7 linked regions of the Macaca mulatta genome follow. The protein of the gene in region 1 binds, or shares a complex with, the protein of each later gene. Links are inferred from orthologs where the notes say so. Each region holds a gene or a part of one and is shown in the gene's direction. Other genes may lie near its edges. The genes, in order: TGFB1, ITGB6, TGFBR1, NRROS, LRRC32, TGFBR2 and ITGB8.

Evidence for each region.
Region 2: the proteins of TGFB1 (region 1) and ITGB6 are in contact, whole or in part, in a crystal structure (PDB 5FFO), measured with the Homo sapiens proteins. The link is inferred for Macaca mulatta from reciprocal best matches to the Homo sapiens genes TGFB1 and ITGB6. Residues at the interface, in NP_000651.3 of Homo sapiens: Pro70, Gly71, Pro72, Glu75, Leu158, Asn237, Gly245, Asp246, Leu247, Thr249, Ile250, His251, Met253, Asn254; in NP_000879.2 of Homo sapiens: Ser142, Ala143, Ser144, Asp146, Asp147, Pro196, Cys197, Ser199, Ile200, Pro201, Tyr202, Lys228, Lys231, Ile232, Ser233, Ala234, Asn235, Ile236, Asp237, Thr238, Glu240.
Region 3: the proteins of TGFB1 (region 1) and TGFBR1 are in contact, whole or in part, in a crystal structure (PDB 3KFD), measured with the Homo sapiens proteins. The link is inferred for Macaca mulatta from reciprocal best matches to the Homo sapiens genes TGFB1 and TGFBR1. Residues at the interface, in NP_000651.3 of Homo sapiens: Ala279, Leu280, Asp281, Asn283, Tyr284, Tyr328, Ile329, Trp330, Gln335, Lys338; in NP_004603.1 of Homo sapiens: His39, Leu40, Thr42, Lys43, Phe55, Asn68, Met70, Ile78, Phe84, Val85.
Region 4: the proteins of TGFB1 (region 1) and NRROS are in contact, whole or in part, in a cryo-EM structure (PDB 7Y1R), measured with the Homo sapiens proteins. The link is inferred for Macaca mulatta from reciprocal best matches to the Homo sapiens genes TGFB1 and NRROS. Residues at the interface, in NP_000651.3 of Homo sapiens: Leu30, Ser31, Thr32, Cys33, Thr35; in NP_940967.1 of Homo sapiens: Phe194, Glu195, Ile196, Glu197, Gly198, Gly199, Phe201, Leu210, Leu212, Pro218, Cys219, Ile220, Val221, Asp222, Phe223, Gly224, Leu225.
Region 5: the proteins of TGFB1 (region 1) and LRRC32 are in contact, whole or in part, in a cryo-EM structure (PDB 8VSC), measured with the Homo sapiens proteins. The link is inferred for Macaca mulatta from reciprocal best matches to the Homo sapiens genes TGFB1 and LRRC32. Residues at the interface, in NP_000651.3 of Homo sapiens: Leu30, Ser31, Thr32, Cys33, Lys34, Pro325, Pro327, Tyr328, Ile329, Trp330, Ser331, Leu332, Thr334, Gln335, Tyr336, Val339, Leu342, His346, Ala353, Pro354; in NP_001122394.1 of Homo sapiens: Ser135, Tyr137, Glu158, Ser160, Thr162, Val184, Met186, Asp187, Ile188, Glu189, Asp190, Phe193, Leu202, Leu204, Arg206, Asn207, Ser208, Leu209, Thr210, Cys211, Ile212, Ser213, Asp214, Phe215, Ser216, Leu217, Leu223, Leu225, Cys227, Ser229.
Region 6: the proteins of TGFB1 (region 1) and TGFBR2 are in contact, whole or in part, in a cryo-EM structure (PDB 9FKP), measured with the Homo sapiens proteins. The link is inferred for Macaca mulatta from reciprocal best matches to the Homo sapiens genes TGFB1 and TGFBR2. Residues at the interface, in NP_000651.3 of Homo sapiens: Arg303, Lys309, Trp310, His312, Tyr368, Tyr369, Val370, Gly371, Arg372, Lys373; in NP_003233.4 of Homo sapiens: Phe47, Leu50, Phe53, Asp55, Ser72, Ile73, Thr74, Ser75, Ile76, Cys77, Glu78, Val100, Asp141, Glu142.
Region 7: the proteins of TGFB1 (region 1) and ITGB8 are in contact, whole or in part, in a cryo-EM structure (PDB 7Y1T), measured with the Homo sapiens proteins. The link is inferred for Macaca mulatta from reciprocal best matches to the Homo sapiens genes TGFB1 and ITGB8. Residues at the interface, in NP_000651.3 of Homo sapiens: His117, Thr241, Arg243, Arg244, Gly245, Asp246, Leu247, Thr249, Ile250, His251, Gly252, Met253; in NP_002205.1 of Homo sapiens: Ser156, Ala157, Ser158, His160, Asn161, Asp213, Tyr214, Asn215, Leu216, Gly248, Asn249, Ile250, Asp251, Thr252, Glu254, Gln286.

What each region holds. Positions count from the first base shown.
Region 1 is NC_133424.1:52,496,821-52,500,862, reverse strand, and holds the start of TGFB1 (transforming growth factor beta-1 proprotein), read left to right. Parts: upstream 1-1,242; 5' UTR 1,243-2,200; coding exon 2,201-2,555; intron 2,556-4,042. Other genes in the region: B9D2 (B9 domain-containing protein 2), read left to right, coding at 254-567. UniProt on the Homo sapiens protein: Transforming growth factor beta-1 proprotein: Precursor of the Latency-associated peptide (LAP) and Transforming growth factor beta-1 (TGF-beta-1) chains, which constitute the regulatory and active subunit of TGF-beta-1, respectively.
Region 2 is NC_133417.1:65,076,294-65,080,316, reverse strand, and holds the start of ITGB6 (integrin beta-6), read left to right. Parts: upstream 1-1,223; 5' UTR 1,224-1,503; intron 1,504-4,023. UniProt on the Homo sapiens protein: Integrin alpha-V:beta-6 (ITGAV:ITGB6) is a receptor for fibronectin and cytotactin. It recognizes the sequence R-G-D in its ligands. Internalization of integrin alpha-V/beta-6 via clathrin-mediated endocytosis promotes carcinoma cell invasion.
Region 3 is NC_133420.1:59,300,419-59,304,370, reverse strand, and holds the start of TGFBR1 (TGF-beta receptor type-1), read left to right. Parts: upstream 1-1,152; 5' UTR 1,153-1,261; coding exon 1,262-1,358; intron 1,359-3,952. UniProt on the Homo sapiens protein: Transmembrane serine/threonine kinase forming with the TGF-beta type II serine/threonine kinase receptor, TGFBR2, the non-promiscuous receptor for the TGF-beta cytokines TGFB1, TGFB2 and TGFB3.
Region 4 is NC_133407.1:2,177,193-2,181,301, forward strand, and holds the start of NRROS (transforming growth factor beta activator LRRC33), read left to right. Parts: upstream 1-1,309; 5' UTR 1,310-2,272; coding exon 2,273-2,379; coding exon of another isoform or gene 2,380-2,423; intron 2,424-4,109. UniProt on the Homo sapiens protein: Key regulator of transforming growth factor beta-1 (TGFB1) specifically required for microglia function in the nervous system.
Region 5 is NC_133419.1:77,073,862-77,078,119, reverse strand, and holds the start of LRRC32 (transforming growth factor beta activator LRRC32), read left to right. Parts: upstream 1-1,458; 5' UTR 1,459-1,592; exon of another isoform or gene 1,593-2,602; intron 2,603-2,903; exon of another isoform or gene 2,904-3,149; intron 3,150-4,258.
Region 6 is NC_133407.1:17,856,648-17,859,577, reverse strand, and holds the end of TGFBR2 (TGF-beta receptor type-2 precursor), read left to right. Parts: intron 1-1,974; coding exon 1,975-2,154; 3' UTR 2,155-2,430; downstream 2,431-2,930. UniProt on the Homo sapiens protein: Transmembrane serine/threonine kinase forming with the TGF-beta type I serine/threonine kinase receptor, TGFBR1, the non-promiscuous receptor for the TGF-beta cytokines TGFB1, TGFB2 and TGFB3.
Region 7 is NC_133408.1:107,917,188-107,920,687, reverse strand, and holds part of ITGB8 (integrin beta-8 precursor), read left to right. Parts: intron 1-1,655; exon of another isoform or gene 1,656-1,726; intron 1,727-3,359; coding exon 3,360-3,500. UniProt on the Homo sapiens protein: Integrin alpha-V:beta-8 (ITGAV:ITGB8) is a receptor for fibronectin. It recognizes the sequence R-G-D in its ligands.

The sequences.
Region 1 (4,042 bases):
GGGCACTGGGGAGCTATGGAAGGATCCTTAGCAGGGGAGTAACATGGATTTGGAAAGATCTCTGGCAGTTGTGTGGGGATAGATGAGAAGATGGGAGTCTAGAAAGGAGGCTGGGTTGGAAACCCTGGGACAGAAACCCAGAAAGGAAAGGACTGGGCCTGGGGTCTCCGGTGAGTATCAGGGAGGGGGGAATCAGGAGCAGGAGTCTGGTCACCACCCATCCCTCCTTTCCCCTCTCCCTGCTTTCCTGCAGGCTGGCCCCGGCTCCATTTCCAGGTGTGGTCCCAGGACAGCTTTGGCCGCTGCCAGCTTGCAGGCTATGGATTTTGCCATGTGCCCAGCAGCCCGGGCACACACCAGCTGGCCTGCCCCACCTGGCGGCCCCTGGGCAGTTGGCGAGAGCAGCTGGCACGGGCTTTCGTGGGTGGTGGGCCACAGCTGCTGCATGGGGACACCATCTACAGTGGGGCCGACCGCTATCGCCTGCACACAGCTGCTGGTGGCACCGTGCACCTGGAGATCAGCCTGCTGCTCCGCAACTTCGACCGCTATGGCGTTGAGTGCTGAGGGACCCTGTCTCCAACGCCACCACCATCCACACCCTGGACACCCAGTGAGGCACAGTGGTCAGGAGCACGGACTCTGGAGACCATCAGAGCTGGACCCCAGCTAAGGACTCCTGTCCTTGCTAGGACCTCTGGGTCCCTCTGGGCCCAGTTTCCCTACCTGTAAATTGGGGAGAGTAAATGTATGGGGTCGCAGGATGTTGGATGACAAGAGGCTGCTTAGCCACATGGGAGGTGCTCAGTAAAGGAGAGCAATTCTTACCGGTGTCTGCCTCCTGACCCTTCCATCCCTCAGGTGTCCTGTTGCCCCCTCCTCCCACTGACACCCTCCGGATGCCCCCATCTTGACAGACCCTCTTCCCCTACCCTGTGTGCCAGCCTCACACTGTCCTCCCGTTCTGGGTCCCCCTCCTCTGGTCGGCTCCCCTGTGTCTCATCCCGCGGATTAAGCCTTCGCCTGGTCCTCTTTTTCTGGTGACCCACACCGCCCGCAAAGCCACAGCGCATCTGGATCACCTGCTTTGGTGGCTCTTGGCCGCCAGGAGGCAGCACCCTGTTTGCGGGGCGGAGCCGGGGTGCCCGCCCCTTTCCCCCAGGGCTGAAGGGACCCCCCTCAGAGCCCGCCCACGCGAGATGAGGACTGTGGCCCAGCCCCCCCATGCCCTCCCCCTGGGGGCCGCCCGCGCTCCCGCCCCGTGCGCTTCCTGGGTGGGGCTGGGGCGGCTTCAAAACCCCCCGCCGACCCAGCCGGTCCCCGCCGCCGCCGCCCTTCGCGCCCTGGGCCATCTCCCTCCCACCTCCCTCCGCGGATCAGCCAGACTGCGAGGGCCCCGGCCGGGGGCAGGGGGGACGCCCCGTCCGGGGCACCCCCCCGGCTCTGAGCCGCCCGCGGGGCCGGCCTCGGCCCGGAGCGGAGGAAGGAGTCGCCGAGGAGCAGCCTGAGGCCCCAGAGTCTGAGACGAGCCGCCGCCGCCCCCGCCACTGCGGGGAGGAGGGGGAGGAGGAGCGGGAGGAGGGACGAGCTGGTCGGGAGAAGAGGAAAAAAACTTTTGAGACTTTTCCGTTGCCGCTGGGAGCCGGAGGCGCGGGGACCTCTTGGCGCGACGCTGCCCCGCGAGGAGGCAGGACTTGGGGACCCCAGACCGCCTCCCTTTGCCGCCGGGGACGCTTGCTCCCTCCCTGCCCCCTACACGGCGTCCCTCAGGCGCCCCCATTCCGGACCAGCCCTCGGGAGTCGCCGACCCGGCCTCCCGCAAATACTTTTCCCCAGACCTCGGGCGCACCCCCTGCACGCCGCCTTCATCCCCGGCCTGTCTCCTGAGCCCCCGCGCATCCTAGACCTTTTCTCCTCCAGGAGACGGATCTCTCTCCGACCTGCCACAGATCCCCTATTCAAGACCACCCACCTTCTGGTACCAGATCTCGCCCATCTAGGTTATTTCCGTGGGATACTGAGACACCCCCGGTCCAAGCCTCCCCTCCACCACTGCGCCCTTCTCCCTGAGGACCTCAACTTTCCCTCGAGGCCCTCCTACCTTTTCCCGGGAGACCCCCAGCCCCTGCAGGGGCGGGGCCTCCCCACCACGCTAGCCCTGTTCGCCCTCTCGGCAGTGCCGGGGGGCGCCGCCTCCCCCATGCCGCCCTCCGGGCTGCGGCTGCTGCCGCTGCTGCTACCGCTGCTGTGGCTACTGGTGCTGACGCCTGGCCGGCCGGCCGCGGGACTATCCACCTGCAAGACTATCGACATGGAGCTGGTGAAGCGGAAGCGCATCGAGGCCATCCGTGGCCAGATCCTGTCCAAGCTGCGGCTCGCCAGCCCCCCGAGCCAGGGGGAGGTGCCGCCCGGCCCGCTGCCCGAGGCCGTGCTCGCCCTGTACAACAGCACCCGCGACCGGGTGGCCGGGGAGAGTGCGGAGCCGGAACCCGAACCGGAGGCCGACTACTACGCCAAGGAGGTCACCCGCGTGCTAATGGTGGAAACCCACAACGGTGAGCTCGGAGGGGCAGGGGAGCCGGGAGGGGGGCCCCCAGGGGGCGCCGGAGTGCCGGGGCCCCGGGTAGGAAGTGACTGGCAGAGGAAACTGGCTGGAGGAAGAGGACCCCCCGGGGCAAAGGGAACGTGGGATGGTGGGAGGGGGGTGTCCGAAAGAGGATGGCACTGAGTCCCCTACCCCCCAGGTATCTGGTCTTGGAGAGGAGGAGATAGCGAAGTGGACCGCTTCTAGAGGGCGACAGAAACATGCGGGGTCGTGGGGGTAGTGCCCTAGAGGGATAGAAGCAATAGGGGGACGGTAGAAGGCTCCCTCCTCCAGGACGCGTTGAATTGGGGAGGGGGTCGTGGGGTAGGAGAGGGGGGAGAGGGGAGCCCGGTGTGGGAGAAGCGAAGACCTCAGCATTTGGGAAAGGAGAGGCACTGGGGCAAGTTGACCCAGAGCTTGGGGGTCCTGAGGTGGAAAGATTCAAGGACAGAAAAGCTGGATGAAGGCAACCCTAGGGGGTGCGAGAAAAGTGAGAGCGGACCCATTTCCAGAGGCTGCGAGGAACACGCGGGATGCGGGGGTGGGGGAGAGTCGTAGAAAGAGAAACAGAGGTGGGTGTGATAAATGTGGGGAGAAAGGGACGGGAGGTTATTGGAAGGAGGAGGCAAGCGGGAGAGGAGCGGAGACCCAGGAGTGTGCCCGGGATGCAGAAGTGTCCTCGGTGTTTCACACGGGGATGTGAGGGACAGAGTGGGGAGCCCAGAGGAGGAATTGAGCTTCCAGAAGACCTAGAATCCTGGGTCATGGGAAGAGCTTTACCGAGAGGGGAGACAAGCGTGGGAAAGGTGGTGTGAGCGGGGCGGAGGAGAGATACCCAGCGCCATCCACGCCGCGAGCACTGAGCGCCCCCCGCCCGTCCCGCCACTCGCCGCAGGATGCAGGGGAATGGGCTGAGCGGAGTCCAGCCGCAGGGGAAGTGCTGGGTGGGGAGTGACTCTACGAGACCGAGGTGAGAAAACCAAGCTGGGAGGAGTGAGAAAGCCCCACGTGGGTGCCACGCGCGGGGGGAGGAGCCTGCGCTTCCACCAAGGGGCAGGAGGACCCCGCTGCGCTAAATGCTGGCAGTCTGGACCCCAAAGCCCCAGTTCCTCTCGAGGTGGCTGGGGAAACCCCAGCGTCCGGCCGCCTCACTCTCCTCCCTTCCCTTTCCTTCCCATGCCCCCGGCGGGGGCGGGGATCGCGCGCGGAGCCCGGGGCGAGACGGGGCAGGTCTGGTCCCCGCCCTCCTGGCTGCGGCGCCTCCCGCCCTCCTCACCCCAGCTACGGGCGGGGCTCCCACTGAGCCGGCCCCGTCCATCCATGCGAGGACCCAGGCGTCCTGCGTGGTTCAGAGCTTTGGGAAAGATCCCTTAGGTTTCACTGACTTTTGGGCGGTGTGGGCTTGCCGGTCGCCGGCCCATTCTTGCGCCAGTTTACGGCTCCAGCCCAATGACGCGC
Region 2 (4,023 bases), on another chromosome or scaffold:
GTCAGTTCTTGAATTTCAAATGGAAGTGTCTCCTCACAGCTGAGTTATTTAAAGAGCAAAAGACCAAACATGCACCTCAATTACAGGAAATTAAAAGCCCCGTGAAAGCTCACAAAATCATCAAAAGTTATAAATGAAAGGTAGCTTATAAATCTTCTATTACCCACCACACAACACATACACACATTTTTATAGATGAGGATACAGCCCAGAAAGGTTAGATATTTTTCCAAGATCACACAGTGAGTAAATGGTAGAGCCAGGATTCAAACCCAGGACTCTTGGCTCTCTCTGTTTTTCTTGCCTCAATGCTCCACAAATACCAAAGGGCTTGCAAGCTGCAAACCTGAACCAGTACTGTTTATCAGACATTTGGGAAGAATTGTAACATGATGGAAAGAGCTTTCAAGTCAGACTGGAGTTTAAATCCCGACTTGGTCACTTACTTGTATGGCCTTGGATAAGTCAACCTCCGGGTCATTTATAAAGCAAACATCGTGACTCCTATCCGCAGTGTGGTGGTGAGAATCAAATAAAATAATGTACACTAAGTGCCAAGCAGGGGGCCTGGCACACCATGGGAACTTGAGGAGTATCTATTATTACTATCACATTACTTCCTTGGAGGCATACCCAAAGTCCTGAACTTTCAGTCTTAGCCTGGAAAAGAGAGTATGGGTCCAAATTCTTCATCCTTCTCGACAAAGCCTGTGTGGATGTTTCTGTTCACGGCTGTGCTGCGCCAAAATAAATCTAATTCAATCTGGACCATTAAATGCTTGGCACCATGTTTTACGCTAATCTCATCAGTTGTTATTTTCAGTTTCTAGTTTACCCAAACAATCCATTTTTAGAGTTAGTGACCAAAGCTGCCAATAAAATAGACTTATCTCGAAAACACCAGGATCCTCCTGAAGGAATGTCAATACACACATGTAGCATACGGCAATGCTTTATAAGAGTTTGACCACTGGCCTGCAGTTGGCCAGCTCAACTGTAAACTCAGTACTATTTTGGGGTATTAATATCTATAAGTGCTTAATATCCCAGCCACACTGCCATCCACTAGGTTTGAATGTCCTTTATGGAGTGAACTTGATCCTCCCGTTTCACTTTTGGTCTCTCTCCAGAGAAGCTAATGTACTGGCATAGTTCTGCCATTTGTCAGCCAGAAGTCTGGTTACACATTTGCTCGTCAATCTAAACCTAACCTATTCTCATATGAGCACTTGGGGTTTCATGTAAATCAACCAGACGTTCTGTCATTCACCAGCAATATCTCTCCATAGTATTCTACACCCATGTGCCTTCATGAAATATTTCATTATGCCGGTGGAAGAAATATTCAAATGAATGTGCTTTTTCAGGGATGGTGACACCAGAATGTTTTAAATCTGTTCATTACCACAACAAGGATAAATGGCGTTTCTGCCAAAGACTTTTGATAACGGGTGCAGTAATGCATGCCAGCACTTTCTGAAATTAAAGGTTCTACCCTGAGAGGTAAGTAGGATAATGCATGGCTAACAAATGCAAACCCAAATTTCAGAACTGAGTGTTTCTTGTCAGTGTCACCGATCGCTTCCAACAGACGCTGCCTTAGGGAGTTTGTAATGTCATTTCTGCTCTCCTGACATGAACGTCCAGGTGAGCCTACCCCAACGTTTGTAAAAGAGCGGATCCTTATTAACTTAGCATGCTTTACTGTGATTTTTCTTACATTTGGACTCACACATGTTTTTAACAGCTGCATTTTAAAAATCTGCTATGGTTTAAGAACAGTATTTCATAAAAGCCTTAGTTCATTATTCAGTAAAATATTTTAATAACCAGTTGAACAGTCTCTCGTTAAGATTTTAAGATATTTGTTTCTGATTGTACTAATTAATTGTTAAAGTTTTTTTAAAAAAAAATCAGTGATGAGACTCGTCTTCACTAACTTTTTGGCATCTTCAAGAGGCACAAAGGAAATGAGGAACTGGAAATTTAAAACAGGAAAATAAATATCAGTTCATATTTGCATTGACATATGCATGACATCGGACCAGTTAACTTCAGTACCTCTGGATTGTAAAATGGTGTTTTAGTGTAGAACTAATACATGAGAATTATGGAGAAAATGGAGAGAAAAGGGCTTCCAATTCAGGTTATCTATGAAGAGCATATTTTATTCTTACAAGTGTCTGAAAATACCTGGTATCATTACTATTCACCATGAGAACTTTCGGAAGTATGACCACTAGCACTGTAAAGAACAAAATCCAATATCTGTGGATTTTGTACATTATTCATCCAAATAATGTACCCTCTAAAATTAAAAAAAATCACAGGTAGAGCTATATTGTATTGGCTCGTAAAATACCTAAAATGGACAGAATCTGATCAGAGAGTAATAGTTTTCTTCTCCTATTTTTTTAGATTCTGAACAGGCTCAGAAAGAAAGTTTTTTAATACAGGGTTTTGAATATAAAGTCATTTGGTCATAATACAAGTATTGGTGTCTGCCTAAGGAAAATTTTGTGCCTCAGTGATATGCAAAAACGCCTTCCTCTTTAGAGTTCTCCTTTCTTCATTCCCCATTCATTCCCATTGTAATCTTTTTCCTCTATCTGACTTGCTCCCTCTAGTGTTCCCTGGATGAAGTACAATAGCTAAAGCTCAATTTACAAACACACAAAATCCTATTACTGCAATCTCTCAATGTTTTCCCCAGTTACCATACACTAAAGCAAACTTAGCACCAGATGTTTTGGCCTTGTGAGTTGTAGGTGACAGCAAGAATTTTTAATCAGAGAATGGAATATTGTATTCCACTTAGTGGAATATTGTATTCCAACTTCAGATCCTCAAAGGGGGCATTTATTTCTAATCTGATTGTTAGGGTTAGGTTCCTTCTCTGCCTTTGAATTCTTGTATTGGAATTTACTTTTATTGTGATATGCAGAAGGGGAAAAGATACTCTAATGAACTAAAGCATGCAAGCAGTCATTTCTTTGACATATTTCCCAGGAGTAGAACTTACACTGATCTTCTAAATTACCTAAGAGATTCAAGGCATTTTGACTCAAGAAAAAAGCGATCAATTCTTTAATGGTTTTACAAAAACCATAGGCATATTCTCAGCCACAGAATCTCTTAGTCAAACCAGGAGGAACAACCACTTGGGAGGTGTATTTCTTATGGGCACTTTTTCTTTACAGAGAATAAACACTCCCAAAGCTGTCAGCTGCCATTGCTGCTACTTTGGAAATCAGCCACACCCAAGATGTAGTTATAAGAGCTAACTACAGGCCAAGGTCATCTGGGGATCCATCCAGCCTACTCACAGGCATGGCACCCCAACCTGGTCACAGTGCATGGGCCTGTCAATCCAGGCAGGCCAGCCCAGATTGCTATTTTAGGTTGGAGTTCCCGAAAGAAGGCCCTTGACTGTCCTTCACGCTACTGGCATTCAGCTTTGTACTTAGCCATTCTGAACCATTATCTACTCTATGCCCTAACTGTTTCTCTCCTTTGCAATATCCCACCTCTTTGGGGAGCCCCATAGGAGGTTGATAGATATGTCAAATTGTAATATTAAAATGATTATTTTGTTTAATAACACAAAGTTCACCCATACATACAGCTCTGCTACATCAGGTTACGTCTACCAAGTGCCTGAGCAGGAAACCTCAGGCTTGTTTATCCTCCTCCTTCACTTGGATCTGCCGTTCATCCTTTCCTCTTTCATGTCCACTGGCATTATAGTTCATCCACATTTGCCTAGACTGCTACACTAACTTTCCAAGCACTCTCCCTCCCTCCAATTCACCAACATACTACCGTTGGTTATCTTTCAAAACAACAAATCAGAATGCATTTCTCTTCTGTTTAAAATTTTTCACTGGTTCCCTATCATATATAAGATAAATTTTGAATCCCCTACCATCTTAGTCTGTTTTGTGCTTCTATAACAGAATACCACAGACTGAGTTATTTGTAATGAACAGAAACTTGTCAGCTTACAGTTCTGGAGGCTGGGAA
Region 3 (3,952 bases), on another chromosome or scaffold:
CAGAAAATAAAACTTCCTCCTTAAAAGGTTCTGCGGAAAAATATTCTCTGTTCTACGTAACAGCCTACTTGGCTGTGTTTGTGTCTGAAGAAAGGACTAGTCTGACAGGAAGAATTACAAATCTGGAGCTCATTTTGGCGTCGCAGAGGGAAGGTGGGTGGAGCGTCTCGCAGTAAATTAGGAATTCAGAATGAAAACGTAGAGTTTATTTGGGTTTTTAGTGACACCTCAGGATTATTATACAGGAGTGTCAGACACAGCTCAAAGTAATGATGACTGCTCCCCCTCCGCCCCACGGGGGCTGGGTGCTAAGAAGGGGGAACCTCTCCTTTGAGGGTTTGGGGTGGGGACCCTCCCTTTCCAACCTGGATCGGGAATGGGGATGAGAGGAGAGCGGTTTGGATCCCCATCCTGGGTCTGTGCTGGAGGGAGGCGGGAGGCTATTTGGAGGTGTGTTTCGGCTCAGGATCTGGGTCTGAGGCTGGGATCTGAGGACTTTCTAGGTTTGGAATTGGGTGGGGGAGCTAGGTTTGGGGTGACCGCTGGGCGCAGGAGGAAATAGGAGAGTGAGTCGCATGTGAAGGGCACTGAAGAGGGATCTTCGGGGGAAAGCTGAAGTTGATGCGTGGACTTGGAGAGGGGAAGTTGAAGTGGATGCTGGGGCCTGGCGCTGCAGCGGATCGGAGTGGCATGTGCTGGGATTGCCGGTGCGGGGCTGTGAATGGGGTCAGGGTGGGGCTGAGGCAGTACCAGATCTTCCGCGCCTAGAGGAGGTTAGAAGAAAAGAGCCTCGAGCGGCCACAGCCTTTTTCCGAAAGAGACTCACACAGACACACCCATCGCTCTACCCGGCCCTCCGGGACTAGCGGCTCAGCGGTGCTCTGGCTGGCAGATCCCGCCCCCACGCGGCCTCTGGGAGCTGGAAGCCGGGAGCCAACAGCGGATCCGGCCGGGGCCGCGGTCTGGCGGCCCGGCCCCCGGGGAGCATGGGGCGTGGCCAGAAACCGGCACCCGCGGCTGTGGATTGGCTGCCCGGCGGTCCCGCAGGCGGGGCTCCCGGCTGGGTCCCGCTCGGCCGCTCGCGGCGGCGGGGAGGCGGGGCCGGCGGGAGCCCGGCAGCCAATGGACGCGCGTCCCCCGAGCAGTTACAAAGGGCCGGAGCGAGGCCGCCGCGGCGGCGGGGGAGGTGGGGCGAGGCGAGGCTTGCTGGGGTGAGGCGGCGGCCGGGCCGGGCCGGGCCACAAGCGGTGGCGGCGGGACCATGGAGGCGGCGGCCGCTGCTCCGCGTCCCCGGCTGCTCCTCCTCGTGCTGGCGGCGACGGCGGCGGCGGCGGCGGCGCTGCTCCCGGGGGCGACGGGTGAGCGGCGGCACGGCGGGCGGGCGACTGCGGGGCGCGCGGGCCGGGCCCGGCCTCTGGCTCGCTCCTGCTCTTTCTCAAACATGGCGCGGGGCCGGGGGCGCAGGTGGCTGCGCCGGGGCCCGGCCGGGCTCTCGTGGCCTCGCGGGGCTCGGCGGCCGCCGTGCGAACCGCAAGCGGGGAGCGGAGGCGGGGCAGGGGCGTGTGTCCGGGCGCGGGCGGACGTGTCCTGCTGCCCGAGGCCGCCCCGCTCGGGACTCCCCGGGGAGGTGGAGTCGGGCGGAGTCGTCCGAGGTCCGGGGCTGCCCTCTGGGGTGTGAGTGGGCGAGGGTCAGGGGCGGAGAGTGTGAGGCCGGCGGGGACTGGCAGAGCGGTGGCTGCCCGCCGCCGCCCCCTCGGCACGGCGTGACCTTGTTCCGGGGACCCCCGCCCCAAGAGGGTCCGTGCCCAAGGCTGCCGGGCCCGGGGCGGGGTTTGAGGTTGGGGTGGAAGGCGGCTGCTGGGCGGGGTGTGAGCTCCGAGCCGCTAGGGCTTCGGCCAGTGGGAGTCGGGGGCGAAGTGTGGTGAGACCCCCCGGGTCCACAGGCCGCCGTAACTCCCGCCCGGCTCGACCCGACCCGACCCGACCCTGCTGGAAGGGGCTGCTCTTCCAGCCAGGGGGGCTTTGTGTGAGAAGAAGGAAGCGCGGAGATGCGCGGAATGTTTCTTCTTTCGTGCGTCTGGGGAGTGTTGAAGTGAGTCCAGTAACCAGAAGGCTACGGATTGTTTTCGTAGTGGAAACTTGAACGTTTGCTCGTTCTGCGGGGTTTGGAAATTTTGGGAATGACTGTGAATTGATTAAACGCTTTTTATTTCCTCGAAAGACCATCACTCGCGATATTCCTGTTCTTGAGTGACAGTTAATAGTTTGAATCAGACATCTGTGTAGCTGGTTTTCAAGGAAGAATGTTCGCTGAATTTTTCAAAATATTAAATCAGGTTGGGGTAGGTGGTTGGCATCCTCGAAGGGATGAGTGAAAAACTTTGTTAGCAGCTGAACTGAGGCACTAGAAGCTAAAATACAGAGAGCCTCAGTGTTAGCGACTAAAATGCAGTGAAAGTACATTTCTGTTTCTGAAACTGGACACAAGATGTTGAATTTTTTTTTAAAAAAATCAAGACTGACGATTATAATTAGTCGTAATAGCTACCGTCTATGTATTATGCATTACTGCGATGTAAATGCATAAAGTACACAATTGTATAAGTACGTTATTTAATCACCACAACTAAACTTTCAGGAGTAGTGGCATTTGCCCCACTTTACAGATGTGAAAAGTGGGGTGCAGACACATTAAGTACCCAATAACTAAGTGCTAAAGCTAGGATTTTCACTCAGATCTCAGTTTTCAAAACCTGTATATCTTATATATTAATATATATACATCATACTATCTGGCGTAGCCCATTTTTCTTCTTCAGTCGTCTGCTGAGCAATTGGTCTTTATTATTCACTTTAGATTCTGTCCTCATGATTTGAATATCAGATAGGCTTCATTCCGACTCTTAGCACATTCCTGAGTCCCTTCACGTGGGCCTCCTGCATTAGAGGAAACAATGGATTTTTGATATTGGCCTAGGGAGGAAGGCAAGATAACTGTGTGGACATTTGGGAGAATCAGTATAGTTAGGCATGAAACACAGGTAACATTTCCACACCACTATTAACTTGAATAGCACAGTGCATTCTTTTCCACCAGAAGTAGCATAAGAAGTGTTCATGTATTCAAGTAACAGTAGTGGACTTAGTTGAATATACAGAACATTGCTCAGTCCATGTCCTGGAGAAGTTTACAGTCTCCTTGGCGTGCACACAATACAAAGCTGTCCAGGTGCTTATTACTGTAAGCCCAGACTGCCTCAGCTTGTCTGCCTTCCTTGTTGGTTATGATGATGCCTCAGTCCACCCTTAAAAGACATTCTGAAAAAGGTCAAATGCTTTTTTTTCCCCCTCAGTAATTTGGCTTCTCTTTTAAAGACTTGCACTTTTTTATGTTCTGAGTATGTTTTATTGTTGTCTGCCCAACTTCTCTCTCCAACATAGATTTCTCTAGGGAAATGGATTCCTTGTCCCTAGTACACAGTTTAGTACCACTATGTCTATATTTATATCCCATCTGAGAATGCTGTTTGCTTCCTTTCTGCCATTTCATAACTTTTTTTGTTTGAAAACATGCCCCCAATCCAACTCTTCTTTCTATGAATGCCTCTTGAATGTCTCCTCCTTTCTTGGTATGCAGCCTTCAGCTTAATCCTGCCTGTTATCCTCCAAATCTAGTTGCTTTCCCATGTTTCTCTCATCTAGGCTTTTCTATGGGCTACTGCCAAACTAATCTTCCTCAGCCATCCCCATGAAGGTTTATAAGATTTCCCATTTGTATTCAGCACTTAGAACCACACTTGAGCAGCTTATGATTGGGGCCATCTCTGAGTATCTTACCAGGGATCTCATTTCCCATGACTGCAGACCTTCAAACAATTTCTCTTTCTCACTGACTCCTGACTGTTCAGCCTTTTCACTACACGTTTAGTTTTGCCCCTGTTATGGGAGTGTG
Region 4 (4,109 bases), on another chromosome or scaffold:
AAGGCTGTGAGGACTGGGCTGCCTGGGCTGAAATGTACCGTAAAGTGTGACAGCCGTACAGGAGAGAAACTGCTGGGACAAAGGATAAGAGTTGAGTTTGGCCGGGCGCGGTGGCTCACGCCTGTAATCCCAGCACTTTGGGAGGCCGAGGCGGGCGGATCACAAGGTCAGGAGATCGAGACCACGGTGAAACCCCGTCTCTACTAAAAATACAAAAAATTAGCCGGGCGCGGTTGTGGGCGCCTGTAGTCCCAGCTACTCGGGAGGCTGAGGCAGGAGAATGGCGTGAACCCGGGAGGCGGAGCTTGCAGTGAGCCGAGATCGCGCCACTGCACTCCAGCCTGGGCGACAGAGCGAGACTCCGTCTCAAAAAAAAAAAAAAAAAAGAGTTGAGTTTGGGGCCAGGCACAGTGGCTTATGCCTGTAATCCCAGGACTCCGTGAGACTGAGGTGGGCGGATCACCCGAGGTCAGGAGTTTGAGACCAGCCTGACCAACATGGTGAAACCCCATCTCGACCAAAAATACAAAAATTAGCTGGGCGTGGTGGTGGATGCCTGTAATTCCAGCTACTTGGGAGGCTGAGGCAGGAGAATCACTTGAACCTGGGAGGCAGAGGTTGCAGTGAGCTGAAATTGCACCACTGCTCTAGCCTAGGTGACAGAGTGAAACTCTGTCAAAAAAAAGAGAGAGTTGAGTTTGGGATACATCATGTTGTGACTCTGGGACATACAGTAGTTGATTGACCAGTAGAGAGTTAAAAAAGCAAGTCTGGATCTTCTGGATCTTCTCTTGTGGGAGAGAATGTTGGAGCTAGAGATTAAAATTGGGGAGTTATCAACAGATTGGTAGACACAAAAGCCATGGAGTAGAGAATGTGCATACCGGAGAGAAAGAGGCCTGAATCAGGCACCTGGGTTTGTGACAATTTGATCTTTATTTAGCTTTTTCACTGGTGTCATTGTTATTACCATTATGAGAGAATATTTTATTTTTTTAATTATTTTTATTTTTTTAAACACATGGTCACACTGTATCGCACAGGCTGGAGCGCAATGGCGTGATCTTGGCTCACAGCAGCCTCAACCTCCCTGAGCTCAGGTGATCCTCCCACCTCAGCCTCCCAAATAGCTGGGACTACAGGTGCGTGCCACCAGGTCTGGCTAATTTTTAATTTTTTGTACGTACAGGGTCTCAGTATGTTGCCCAGGCACTCAAGAGGTCTGCCTGCCTTGGCCTCCCAAAATGCCAGGATTACAAGCCCGCGCCTCTGTGCCCGGCCATGAGTGAACATAGTAGAAAGCAGAGACAATGTGCCGGATGTTTGGAGTGAAAAGGACTTGCTCCTGTTCTCTTAGGATGGACAATGCTACACACAATCATAAATCACAGGCTACAGGAGAGGCACCCAATCCTGCAGGACACTTCAACGTTCCAGATTAGAGGGGGAACGAGAGATCAGAGCTGGAGGTCCCTTTTCTGAGCCCCTGAGTGTGGTGGTCCACGCCACTCACTGCATGCAGCAGACACTAAATATTTCACCTTCTCTAGACGACAGCATTTCCTCAAGACCAGGAGCGCTGGGATAATGCATATAAAGCTCTTAGCACAGTGTCTGGCGCCCCTTCGATGATGGTTATATTATCAATTTTCTTATTCCTTTGAATTACTGGCCAGAGCTGGCAGGGAACTTTGCACACATCAGGCACAAAAAACCCGTCCATGCAGTCTATGATCAGGAAGCTCGCGGCACTCTGACAGTCCACGACAAAGCAGTTCCCCTTCTTTCTAACACAGCGAGGGTCCGTAAAGGAGATTATCCACAAGGACTAGCTGAGTGGATAAAAAGACAGACTAGCTGAGTGGCTGACCCTTCCAGACGGCGGGCTGCCCCTCTACACCTGCGCTGCGGTTCTCAAAGTCGGCCTCAGCTTGGTCCTTGGCTGGAAGCTTGTAGAAAAGTTTCTGGGTCAGCGGACCTCACAGGCAAGGGTCCCCTAGCTGGCCACCCCAGCTAGGCACCAAGGCAGGAAAGCCGGGGGTCCCGTTAGCGTCGCTGGAAAACCATTTAAACATCCCCGCTGCTTGGCCACCAGGCCGGCAGGTGCAGGTGTCGGGCCAGCTCCCCGCAGCCCGCCCATCCCCCGCGCCCCGCGCTGCAGTTCCCTCTGCGCAGCCCGGTCTGAGTGAGCCTGTGCCGAGTCGCCCGGCAGCCCGCTCTCCATGTGACTTCAGTTTCCGTCTGTTCCTTCCGCTGGTGCTAAAATAATCTGATGCCCCACAGAAAGGAGGGAGCCCAGCCCCGCGTTCGGCTGCTCTCGAGGAGGCCGGAGCCCCGGAGAGGATGCGCCCCGCGGAGCCGCCTGCGCCTGCGGGAGCCGTGAGTATTTCCTGCGTGGGGGCGTCCCCGGGGGACTTCTCCAGGTGGGCGAGCTCGAGCGAGGTTGGGCGGTAGGAGGTCAGGTCCGTGGCCGGCAGCTCAGGGCTGAGGAGGAAGCTGTGGCTTGCTGCATCCAGGCGCCGCGCTTCTGTGCTGGGCGTGGGGGCCGCGGCTCTGGGTGGAGGTGGAAATGCCTCCCTCCAGGAGCGCTTAGAGCTGAAAAGCTGGTGCGGTGTAGTGGAAACCACCAGGGCTTCAGACTCAGACGTGGGTTTGAGTCCTGGCTCTGTAGGGAGCATGTGAGCAGACAGTGAAGGTTTCCGAGCCTCAGTTTTCTCATCTGCAAAGTGGGAACAGCCGTGCTCCCTCCCTGGACTGGGCGACTGGATATGATGGGACGGCTCTGTGCACACTCAGCATGCTGAGCGCTGGGCTCTCCTTTCCTGTCCCACAACGTGGACTGAGAACCACTGTTTCATAGATGAAGACGCTAAGGCTGGTTAACAGCTACACCTGTTCACAGATTCCGTCCACGTGCCAGGCCTGTCCAAGGCCCTGGGGATACAGCTGTGAAGATGTGCAAAGCCCCTTCCCCCACAGACGGTTTGTCCTTGGGAGATCCACTGGGGCTCTGTGACTTGGATCCTAGCCTAGCCTTAGATCCATGGCTTATCAGAGGGAAACTAAGAGGAGGGCGACTCAGACTGGGAAGCTCGTTGGTGGCCCTCGTGGCCTCTCCATGTGGGCCGGCTTCTGAAGGGGTCAGCATACTTCCCCGGGTACCCAGGAGCTAGACGGAAAGAAGTAAGGAGCCACCGGTGTGGCTTTGTGCTGCCTCTGAGACAAGGCGAACACGTGCCAGTTAGTGGCTGGGACTGGAGGGGGCCAGGTCCGGGTCCTAAGAATGGAACCTTTGGATGGGGCTGGTCGAGGCTGCTGTGCTTCCGGAGGGGCTGAGGGGACCCCACTGGAGGCTTCTTCGTGATGGGTACAGCCTGTTAGGAGTCTGGATGCTAGAAACACTCAGAGTCTGTGGAGCTGGCCCTCCGTGCTTTCCTGTGTGCTCCTTCCCTGCTGGCTGTGACACACAGACTGTTCCTGTGGATGCTGGGGGGTTGCTGGGCTTTACATACGGTGCATATTTATTCTCCTCACACACCCCTCAGGTTTGTATGTGTATGCCTGATAGTTCCTAAAGATTATAGAATCATGGGCCCAGGAAAAAACCTTAACCCCTGCCTTTAGGTTTAAAAAATAATAATAATAACTTCACAAAGAAGGAACTTTAAAAAAAAGATTATTTATTTTTAGAGACAGGCTCTTGCTCTGGGGCCCAGACTGGAGTACGGTGGCACGATCACAGATCACTGCAGGCTGAAACTCTTGGGCTCAAATGATCCTCCTGCTTCAGCCACCTGAGTAGCTAGGACAACAGGTGCACGCCGCCATGCCAGCTAACTTAAAAAATTTTTTTTGTAGAGACAGGATCTTGCTATGTTGCCCAGGCTGGTCTTGAACTCCTGGGCTCAAGCAATCCTCCTGCCTTGGCCTCCCAAAGTGCTGGGAGTGTGAGCATGAGTCACCACACCCAGCTTTCATGTAATGAGTACCTTCATGGGAACTTCATGAAAACACATGTAAACATAATCTCTCATAGTTTTAAAATTCATCATCCAAGAGATCCTGCTCTTTGATAAAGAGACATAACTTGGTAGGCTCCAAAACAGAGA
Region 5 (4,258 bases), on another chromosome or scaffold:
GGATACCTTTCCCAGGCCCTGCTGAGAGATTCCTTACCTGCACCTCCTGCCCATCCCCTCAGTGCAGCTCAGGCCTCCTCCTTAGGGAAGCTTTCCCTGATTTCCTCCTCTAAGGCTAGGTCAGGCCCCTGGGGCACCTGCTGTCACAGCTTGTCCTCTCTGGGTTGACCCCATCTGCTCAGATCCATCTCCACAGTAGACTGAACAGGCAGAAGAAAAGACAGTAACTGTAGGGACTTCAGGAAATCCCACTTCTGAGCCCAGCCTTACCCTGATTTGCCAGAAGGCCCTGGGTGGTCACTTTCATGCCTGTAAAATGGGGCACCCTACCCCACTCTAGGGCTGGTGACCATCAGGGAAGAGAAACACTGTGGAAGACCATCAGGGAAGAGAAACACTTCCACCCCCAGAACCAGGACCTGGAGGACAGCCAGGGCCCCTCTCCTCTAGGGACCCGCATCCTGGAGCCCACAGGCAGCAGAGCAGGGTACCTGTGATTTGGTGGGGACAAGGCATCTAGAAGAGGGGTGGCTTTGGGGAAGATCTGCTTCAACCTCCGATCTAAACGACAATACCGCCACCCTATATTTGCACAATACTTTAAAAAATCGGCCAAGATAATGCCCAAACTGAAGCAGACTTGGCTTTATGGACAGAGTGGGCTCAAATCCCTGATTCTTACAAGCTGTGTGACTTTAGACATGCCACTTAACCTTTCTGAGCCTCAGTTTCCCCAACTATAAATAGGGACCTTACTAGTCTCAGACAATTGGTTTTCATGTGTACACACTGCCCCCGCCCTAGCCTCAGTTTCTCCGTCCGAAAGCTGAGGACTTTGATGGTGCTATTTCACAGGCTGTTGAAGGGCCCCGCAGATGATGGAGGAGTACGGGTCTAGACGCTAAAGCACAGTTCGGAGAGGAAAAGTGACCTGCCAGGACCCACCAGAGCGGGCGGCTTGGTGCGGGGAACCCCCTCCGCGGCCGCCCCAGGGCCAGAGAAGGGTCATTTCCTTCCGCATTCAGCCCCGCCGTCACCTCGCCTGTTTGCCCCCGCGTTAAGTGCGGCGGCGCCAGCAGCTGGGAAATCGGGGCCAGGCCGGATTTCCTCTGTGGACCTGCGGCTCTTAGAGCCACCGCGCCCCCCTCCGGACCCCGCGGGGCCGCGAACTGCACGTGCGGCGGCCACCGGGACGGGCCTAGCTCCCACGGCGCTTCCTCTGCGACCCCTCTCCCTCCCGCCCTCTCATCTCACCCCTCTGGGTCCCCGCCCCTTCCCGGCCGAGGTCCCAGGGTGATGAAGATGCTTCGCCGCTCCGCCCCAGTCCGCCTCCGCCAGCTCCGGATAAACCGAGGCACGGGGCCAGGCGCTAGGACCCCGCGGCCTCGCCGGAGGGGGGCGTGGCGTGGCGGGCCGGCGGGAGAGGTATTTAAATTGCAGCCGGAGCGCGGGGGCTCCGGTGGGGCAGCTGAGTGGCCTGCGCCTCCTCGGGCCGTGACCCCGGGGTCTGGCGCGGGGTGGGACCCGGGGGCGGGTTTGCGCAAAATGTGCCGAGACTGCCCGGGAGAGGAACTGCGGCCGCGCTGAGCCAGGTAGGAGCCGCCAGGCGGGCGAGGTGGCCGGCCCTCGGGGGGCGCACTGTTGCGCGCCCCTCGCGAGCGCAGGGAGGGGTCTGGTCCCGCGAGACGCCCCCCAAACCCTCCCCTCCCGCCGTCCCCACTGCGCGCGTGGGGCTGGGGCTGACCCTCCCTCGGTTCCTGGGAGGCCCCCAAGGCTCCTGTCTCCGCGGAGCTTTCCCGCAAAGGAGTGAGACCGAGGTTCCCATTTGACAGCTGGGAAAACAAAGGCCTGAAGACCGGACTTGCCCAGGAACACACAGCTAGGCAAGGGCAGACCGGAATTTGAATTCACGTTTCCTGCAACGTTCCGATCCCGGCCAGGCGTGGGGCTGCCCATCCCACAGCACTAGATGGCCTGCCCATTTCTCGTAGTGGGGTGGGAGGCACCTACCGCTCTGCAAGGGGCTCTGAAGCCAGCCTTCTTCATGGCTGGTAAGATGTGAGGGACCCCCACCCCCACCCCGAGCTGCCTGAAATTCCGCCATCACAGCCACATTCCTTTGGGTTAAGGTCTAATTCCCCCGTGGGATGCACATGTCTCCAGAACGAGGCTTGCCCTTAGTGATTCACTGCTTGACAGGAACGTCCGCAGCAGCTCTCCCAGGACCCCACTCTGCCAGTAAGTCAGCTGAGGCCGAGAGGAGGGAGAGAGGACCTCAGAGCCCAGACTGTGAGCTAGTCTGCCCTGCTCCTGCATGTGAGGGGTCGTTGGCAGGGCTTAGGGAAGGAGACCTTGGTCCGGTATAGTGGAAACATTTGCTTTGGAGGTAGATGAACTGGATTCTGATCCTGACCCTGCTATTTGCTCCTTGTGTGACTTTAGGTAAGTCACCTCTCTGAGCCTCCTTTTCTTCATGGGCAAAAGAAGACAGTTCTATGGGGGGAGTCGGCTCAGCTTGTGCTGGAGAAAACACAGTATTCAGGTCATGTAGAACTGGATAAATCCGAGCTCCAAAGCCCTTGTGAGCTGGGTAACTCTGGGGGTAAGTCACTTCACTTTTCGGAACCTGTTTTCTCAACTGTAAAATGGGAATTACAGTAATTGCCTCAATAGGTGATTGTGAGAATTAAATGAGGTGATATAGGTCAAGTGCTTAAAAGACTGTCTAACATCCTTAAATGTAGGGTGGGCTTATTGTGATAGTAGTCATTGCCCCCCGTACCCCTGCTCTCTTACCCCTGCTCTCTTCTCTCTCTGTCTGTCTCTCTCTCACACACACGCACACACACACACACACACACACACACACATTCTTTAGCACTTTTCTGCCTCCTCTTGCCCAGGCCACTTGTCTGCAGGCTTGGGGCCTCCCCACTGAGCACACCTCACCTGGGATGCTCAGCCCTGCGAGGGTCACTGTGCCAGCTGGAAGGACAGTGAGGACGCAGGGCACCTTTGCTGCTATTCTTTGCCGGATCATCACAATAGTTGGGGTTGGCCAGTGGCAGAACTGGAACCCAGCTGCCTGCCCTGCAACAGGACACTGGGGCACCAAGAAATGAAGGAACTTACCCTAGGGAGCAGAGCTGGTGAGTGGTGGGCTTTGGATGCATGCCTGGGTCTAAGTGACACCGTCCTCCTTTTTGAGAGAGAGTAGTCTTGGGCACCACTGAGGAGGGCCCACAGCTGAGGGGCCCTTCCTGTCAGATGCCAGGACAGAGTGCCCATGTGCTCCAGGGACGGTCCCTTCTGGATGTGCACAGGGCCACCTTGGGGATAGAGTGGGGTTTGGCAGAGGAAGGGGAAATAAGGGCCTAGGACCCTTCCTTGTCCTCACCTGGCACTCTCCACTCAGTCTGCTGCAGCTGAGCTTCTGCCCTGACTTTGCCACTTGTTCACTAGTCTTTAGTGAGCACCTACTTAGTAGGCCCCTGTTCCCACATGATAAGAAATAAATGATGAGGAAATGATACATGTGGGAAAACAATGACATGTGTGAGGAGCTGAGGAAGAGCATTCAGGGAGAGGAAACCGCAGGAGCAAAGGCCCTGAGGCAGGAATGAATTTGCTGTGTTGAAGGAACAGCAAGAAAGCTGGAATTTAGTGAGGGAAGGGAAAATGGACAAGAGTCAGAGAGGAGACTGTGGATGGCCTGGATTTTCTTGGAGATTTTCAAACAGTAGAGGTTTAGGGTCTGACAGATGATTTTATCTCTCTGGCTGCTAGGTATAGGACAGATTATAAGGGGTCAGTGTGTTGTGGTTAAGGCCGGTATTGGGGTGGCATCTCAGTCTGTGGCAGTGACAAGAGGGAAGTAGGAAGATCTGGGGTCTCTTTTTCAGGGAGAGCAGTCAGAGCCCTCTGATGGCACAAATAGGGGAAGGGAATGTGGCAGGGAGGTGAAGGGAGAGCCAAAGAGAACTGCTGTCACTAACGACCCCATGTCACCAATACTCCTGGTGTCAGTTCTCTGTGCCGCTGCTGACCTGCTGTGTGCTGTGAGATGCATCTCAGGACGGTGAGCCCCTCTCTAGGGGCACTTCCCATGGGAGGGGGGTGGGACACAGTACCCACGGAGGGCTTGGTGCTGTGCTCACTGGAAGCTCGGGGGCTCTGGGAGGACTGGAGGACATAGCCCAGACTTGGGGAACCAAAGAAGACCTCTTGGCCCATCTAAGCTGGGACCCCAAGGATGAGG
Region 6 (2,930 bases), on another chromosome or scaffold:
AAGGCTAAGGCTAAGTTGTAGGTTTCCCTAAGGGCAAGGCAAATTCAGATAAGAAACAGAAACAACAAATCAGGCACAATCGGGAAGACAAATGGAGCAGGAAGCCTGGTCTGTGCCAGTCCTGGCGCAGAGCCACTTCAGCAGACAGACCTTAATAAAGTCCTTCATAAAGGAGGGGGCGGGGGTGAACCAGGCTGTGGTGGGTCACGGGCTTCGCTGGAGTTTTGGGCAAATCCTCTTTGACACTAAAACTGTAAGAATGTTTTGCATAAATTCTGAAATCAGAATGTACTGGAGTGTTATGTTTCTTTCAAACTCTGTTGCCTCCTCTGCTGTATAGTTCTCGTAATGAAGCCATTATTCATGATGATAAAATTCTGAAAAGAATTTGCATAATACATTTTTTCTCATAATGAGATTTGTTGCCCTATTGATTTCAAGTTAATGCTTAATATTTAATTTAATTTACTGCCTGTAATTACAGTGCCAGAATAAAATAAATGTTATTTGTGTACCAACAATAGTACTCTACTCTTAACAGGGCCATCTGTCAATGCTGTCAATTAGGCGAATTATGCAATTAATTTAACATCATGAACTCATGGTGTCAGGAGGGAAAGAGAGAGGTTCCTAGGTGTGTTTGGAAAGTTGTTCGTATTAGAAAGCAAGTAGAGAAAGTGCCAGCTCTCCCAGGTAGGTTGGAGATGTATCCATCCCACTCCCAGCCACCTGTGTGGTGGTTCCCCATTAGCAATGTTGATCTTATAATTGGGAGGAGCACGCTCTATTTCCACGTATCAGACCATTTGCTTAACTCCTGCCTGCTTTATTTCCAAAAAGGATTTGAAATGATACCAAAAATACTTGCAATGCGAAATAAAAATTAAGCCAGTGAGAGAAAACTCTTGCCACCTTCCTGGGCCGGATCTTCTGGATGGGCTCCTTGGATGGGGCCTTGGTTCAGTTAGGGTGAACCCTGTGAAATGGCAGAGTTAAGCATGCCTGACCCTCAAAGGCAGCTGTTTCACAGGGTCCAACCTTATGTTGTTGGAGAGGAATGGGGCATCCCAGAGGTCATCCTTGGCAGCTCGTAGAAGCTGCTACTGAATCACTCTACCAAATGTGTGGCCTGTGGAAAATGAAACCACGCTAATGCCTGCATACAACTCTGACTGGGGTAATCAGCCCTGTTAAAATAGAACAGTGTATATATGACCCAGCTATATGACACTCCGGAAAAGGCAAAAACTACAGAGACAGTAAAAGATCAGTGGCTGCCAGAAATGTAGGGGAATGGAGGGAGGGACGAGTAAGTGGAATGCAGGCGATTTGAGGGGCAGAGAAACTATTCTGCATGATACTATAATGGTCGATACCTGTCTTTATACATTTGTCAAAACCCATAGAATATACAACACCGAGAGTGAACCCTAATGTAAACTATGCATTTGATTGATAATGATGTGTCAGTGTTAGTTCATCAGTTCGAACAAATGTAGCACACAGACGGATGATACCGAGGTGGAGAAGGCTGTGCCTGTATGGGGAAGGGGTTTTGTGAAAACTCTCTGTACTTTCCACTCAATTTTGCTGTGAACCAAGAACTTCTCTAAATAGAAAGGCGTTAAAATGGTATTAGGGGCCACTGCATGGGGAATTTTCAGGTGTTGGGAGTGTTAGTGTACCCCAGAAGCCCAGCAGAGGATCATTGTGCTGTCAGGACCTATTGTGATCAGATAGCACCAGAGCCAAAAAAGTATGGTAGGTTTCGAGCACAGCCGCCCCCAGCACAATCTCCACTTTCCACATGGAACTGGCTGGCCCCCAGCGGCGGGCACTCAGTCAGCGCATGTTAAATGCACAGGTACTTTTGAACCCTGCTTGCACTCACTATAGCAACAGGTCAGCAAGCCACTTTGCCTTCCGCGGAGCCCACCAACTAATGGTGCCCTTTGGATCTCTTTCCCACTACAGGGCATCCAGATGGTGTGTGAGACGTTGACTGAGTGCTGGGACCACGACCCAGAGGCCCGCCTCACAGCCCAGTGTGTGGCAGAACGCTTCAGTGAGCTGGAGCACCTGGACAGGCTCTCGGGGAGGAGCTGCTCCGAGGAGAAGATTCCTGAAGACGGCTCCCTAAACACTACCAAATAGCTCTTCTGGGGCAGGCTGGGCCATGTCCAAAGAGGCTGCCCCTCTCACCAAAGAACAGAGGCAGCAGGAAGCTGCCGCTGAACTGATGCTTCCTGGAAAACCAAGGGGGTCACTCCCCTCCCTGTAAGCTGTGGGGATAAGCAGAAACAACAGCAGCAGGGAGTAGGTGACATCGAGCATTCTATGCCTTTGACGTTGTCATAGGATAAGCTGTGTTAGCACTTCCTCAGGAAATGAGATTAATTTTTACAATAGCCAATAACATTTGCACTTTATTAATGCCTGTATATAAATATGAATAGCTATGTTATATATATATATATATATATATATATATCTATATATGTCTATATCTCTCTATATATAGCCATACCTTGAAAAGAGACAAGGAAAAAGATCAAGTATTCCCAGGAAATTGGTTTTATTGGAGAGCTCCAGAACCAAGTAGAGAAGGAAGGGACCCATGACAGCATTAGCATTTGACAATCAGACATGCAGTGGTTCTCCGACTGTGTAACAGGGAACTTTGCATGAGGCAAGAGGCTGCACGTCTCACAGCCAGCTATGACCACATTGCAGTTGCTTTTGCAAAATAATCATTCCCTGCCTAGCAGTTCTCTTCTGGCCATGGAACTAAGTACAGTGGCACTGTTTGGGAACCAGTGTTCCCGGGGTTCCTGTGTGCCCTTGTTTCTCCTGGACTTTTCATTTAAGCTGCAAGCAGCACATCTGCGGGGGCTAGTTTAGAAATTTCCCTCAACCTAGTTTAGAAACTC
Region 7 (3,500 bases), on another chromosome or scaffold:
ATAATTAAGTTAATGTGAAATTAAAAAGGAACACTGACATATCATCTATTAATATTCAATATAAATATTAACCCATGGTACCTTACAACTAAAAATATCTGGAGCGCACATGCCAGGTTAAGTTTAATTTTTATATAACAAATCCAGTTGCATATAACTGTTTAATAATTCCTGATAGTTGGAATAGCCCAGATAGTTGTAAAGTATTAATAGAAATATATTCAACAGGGCTTCTGCAAAATTAATAAAATTCTTTAGGTAAAATGGCTTTGAAAATCATATATTATGCTTGAGGAGGAGTGAATGTGGGAGGGGGTTATTGTAGTCGGGCTTGTCCTACTTGGGAGGAAGGAGGAAAAGTGAGGAGCAATCATTCCCCTTCCCTTCCCTCCCCTCCCTGAAATTCCCAGGCTGTTTGTTTAAAACCAATGGATATTGCCAGTAGGCATGTGATGAAACTGAGGGTGCTGTCCCTGTCAGGGCAGAGATCCACGGTCTATCTGGACATTTCTGTTGTCCTTTTCATATAGCCACGTCCCCATGCCAACTAGAGTTCCTTTGGTAATAATTCTGAAACCACTGATGGGAAGTGGAGATTTTCCTGGAAACCCTGACATGGGTCATAGCACTTCATTAATTAAATCATTTCCAGGGTCACTCTAAGCCCCTGTTTTATACCCTATTCCATTTCTCCTCCAAAATTATGCCCAGGCATCTTGTCCAAAATAGTTTATAAGTGGCTCTACGATGAGATCACGTACAAAGGTTAAGTGGGGGCGTTAACTAGGGACATAATATCCATAGTGCCACACAAAGGTATTTCTGTGTCCTCTTACTGTGGAATACTGATGCCTAGGACAGCTGCTCCCAAGAGTTTTCTCCTTTATTTATAATTATACAATCCAAAGCCAACTTGAGAGCATATTATGAGGAACATCTCAAACTGATGGGCATGACATGGTAATCCCAGCTTGACCCCTTTGGTTTCCTCCTTATCAAACAGAGCACGATTTGGGGTCAGCCTATCTAGGTCTATTTACCTTGAATTGACTACTTAAAGCTAGACTCTCACAACAAGCTCAGGGGTCTTGCAGTGTAAAAGTATTGATTATTTTTCTTGCCAGCAATTACTAAAAGGCCTGTGTATGGAAATATTCTCTTTTCCTCTTTATTAGAAACTTCTCTGCTGAGGCCTCAGCTGACCCCGGTATACGTGCTAAGGCCAGAATCTATGGAATCCAAAATCAAGGCACAGCAGCCAACACCCTCACACCCCAACCATTTGGCAGTGCTTTCTCACAGTCTTCTTCTTTGCTGAGGCCAGTGAGACCAGAATTTGCTTGCTAGGCTATGAGCAGCTGGTTTCAGCTGAGCGCCTTCGTGTGGCTAGCATTTGGTTGGAAGGCCCTGAATAGCTTACCTCCAAGGACTGTGCCTTTGCTGATGCTACACAGGCTCTGGTTGTTTGCTGAGGTCACCGACCCATACCTTTGCTGGGTCCCTGGCACAATATGCTGACCATCTATTACATCTAGCAATACCTCTGAAAACAGCCATTCATCTTTAGACAGAGCCACCGTAAACTGCAACGATTCACCAACATAAAAATACCATGATACCATGTGGCCAGTTTACAAAAACAATCTTTTTTAAATCTACAAAGATGACAGTACTTTTCATCAACAGCAGTTCACCTAGAGAGAGTCGATACTTTGGGTCTGAGTGAAAAACAAAATACACTGATCCACACATCAAGGTTCAAGTCCCTGCACATGAGTCGCTCTCCCAGTAGTGCTGAATTTCTACTTCTCTTCGATCTGGTCCAGTGTACCAGTGTTTAACATTCCCCTGAATTTAATTTCTCCACTCAAATTGCAGAACACTGCCACAGGAACGGGTCTTTCTGTCAACAGAAGCCCAAAAGCAGAGCAGAATATAGGATATGCTCTCTGGAGGCAGCCTAACTTCTGAAGGCAAGGGATGAGAGAATGGACTGGGCTGGGCCACGCCTGCCCTATTTCTCCTTTCAAATATGAGCCAAAACCTAGGAGCATTACACCAAAGGGGTTGCCTGCACAAAAAAAGCAAATTGGGAAGGAGTAGTCCCTTTCTCCCATTATTATTATTATATACCAGCAAAACCTTATTATTTTGAATACAGTAGGTAATTTGGCTGAAAAACATCTGATTTGTGAAATAATTGAAAAGAAAATATTGCTATTTTATACTAACACCAAAAATATAATTTGATAAATTAGAAGGTTCTTTAAATAAGTAAATTATGTATACAAAAGATGTTTATTTTAAAAATGTCTTCCATTCAGAATATTCTTATGGAAAAATAATGACTTACAAAGCATTTGCTTAATAGTTTCAAAAAGTAAAATTTACAAATTATGAATTGCTTACATTTCAATAGATGCCTTTTCACTATATACTTTAAATTAAAAGTAGAGGTACCAACTCTATAGAGGGTTAGGGGGGATAACCCAGGTCCTTGTATCTAATAGTAATATGACAGAAAACTAAATAAAATTGTAGTACCCTGTGGGGACTACCAACATTTGTCCTTGTGGCAGCCCCCTCTTCTCATCCAGTTGTTCTGTCCACAGTGGGTGCCTCACTCATGGGGCCCCTCCTCAGCATGTGAACACCCACTGTGTGTTGGACAAATGCTGATCCTTACCTGCCCCAGGTCCTCCATGTGGCACTGCAGGGCACCATTCTTTAGCCCACTGTCTCATTCTTTCTCTTGGCTAACTGATGGGAAGAATCATATCAACTAACTAGTGACGAGCTACTAATTATTTTGAACAACTTGCTGTACTACACAGTACTAGAGTTTTCTCATCTCCTGTGTAAATACACTTTAACCCAAAAGAATGAATTCATGCCTTTATCCAATAAGAGTTCATTTAAAAAAAAAATGCCTTCCCAGTTTTCCTCAAGTCATTCCACAAGTACAGCCCCCTCACTCTCTTGAGATAGAATGCCGCTTACTGGTTTGCACTGTGTTTTTCTAGCTACTAAGGCAATGGAGGTTCATATAATGATACGATACCCTGTTACATTTATACGGAGCTAGCCTATTTGTTATTATCCCTATTCAGCCTATAGAATTGTGGGAAATGAACTGTAGGATTTGGGACTAATAAATTGGTATGGTTTTCAAATTGCCTTATAATTATACTACAATAATAATTATACTATAATGATTATAATTATACTAGAATATTCCAAAATTCATGTGCACATTTGTGATGATTGTGCTAGGTGCTAGAATGTGACTAATTTATTGATAGCTTATCCTGAAAAGTTTAAAATGAAGACTACATGATGTTTTTCTTCTGTCGAACTAGGAGCTGAAGCTAATTTTATGCTGAAAATTCATCCTCTGAAGAAATATCCTGTGGATCTTTATTATCTGGTTGATGTCTCAGCATCAATGCACAATAATATAGAAAAATTAAATTCTGTTGGCAACGATTTATCTAGAAAAA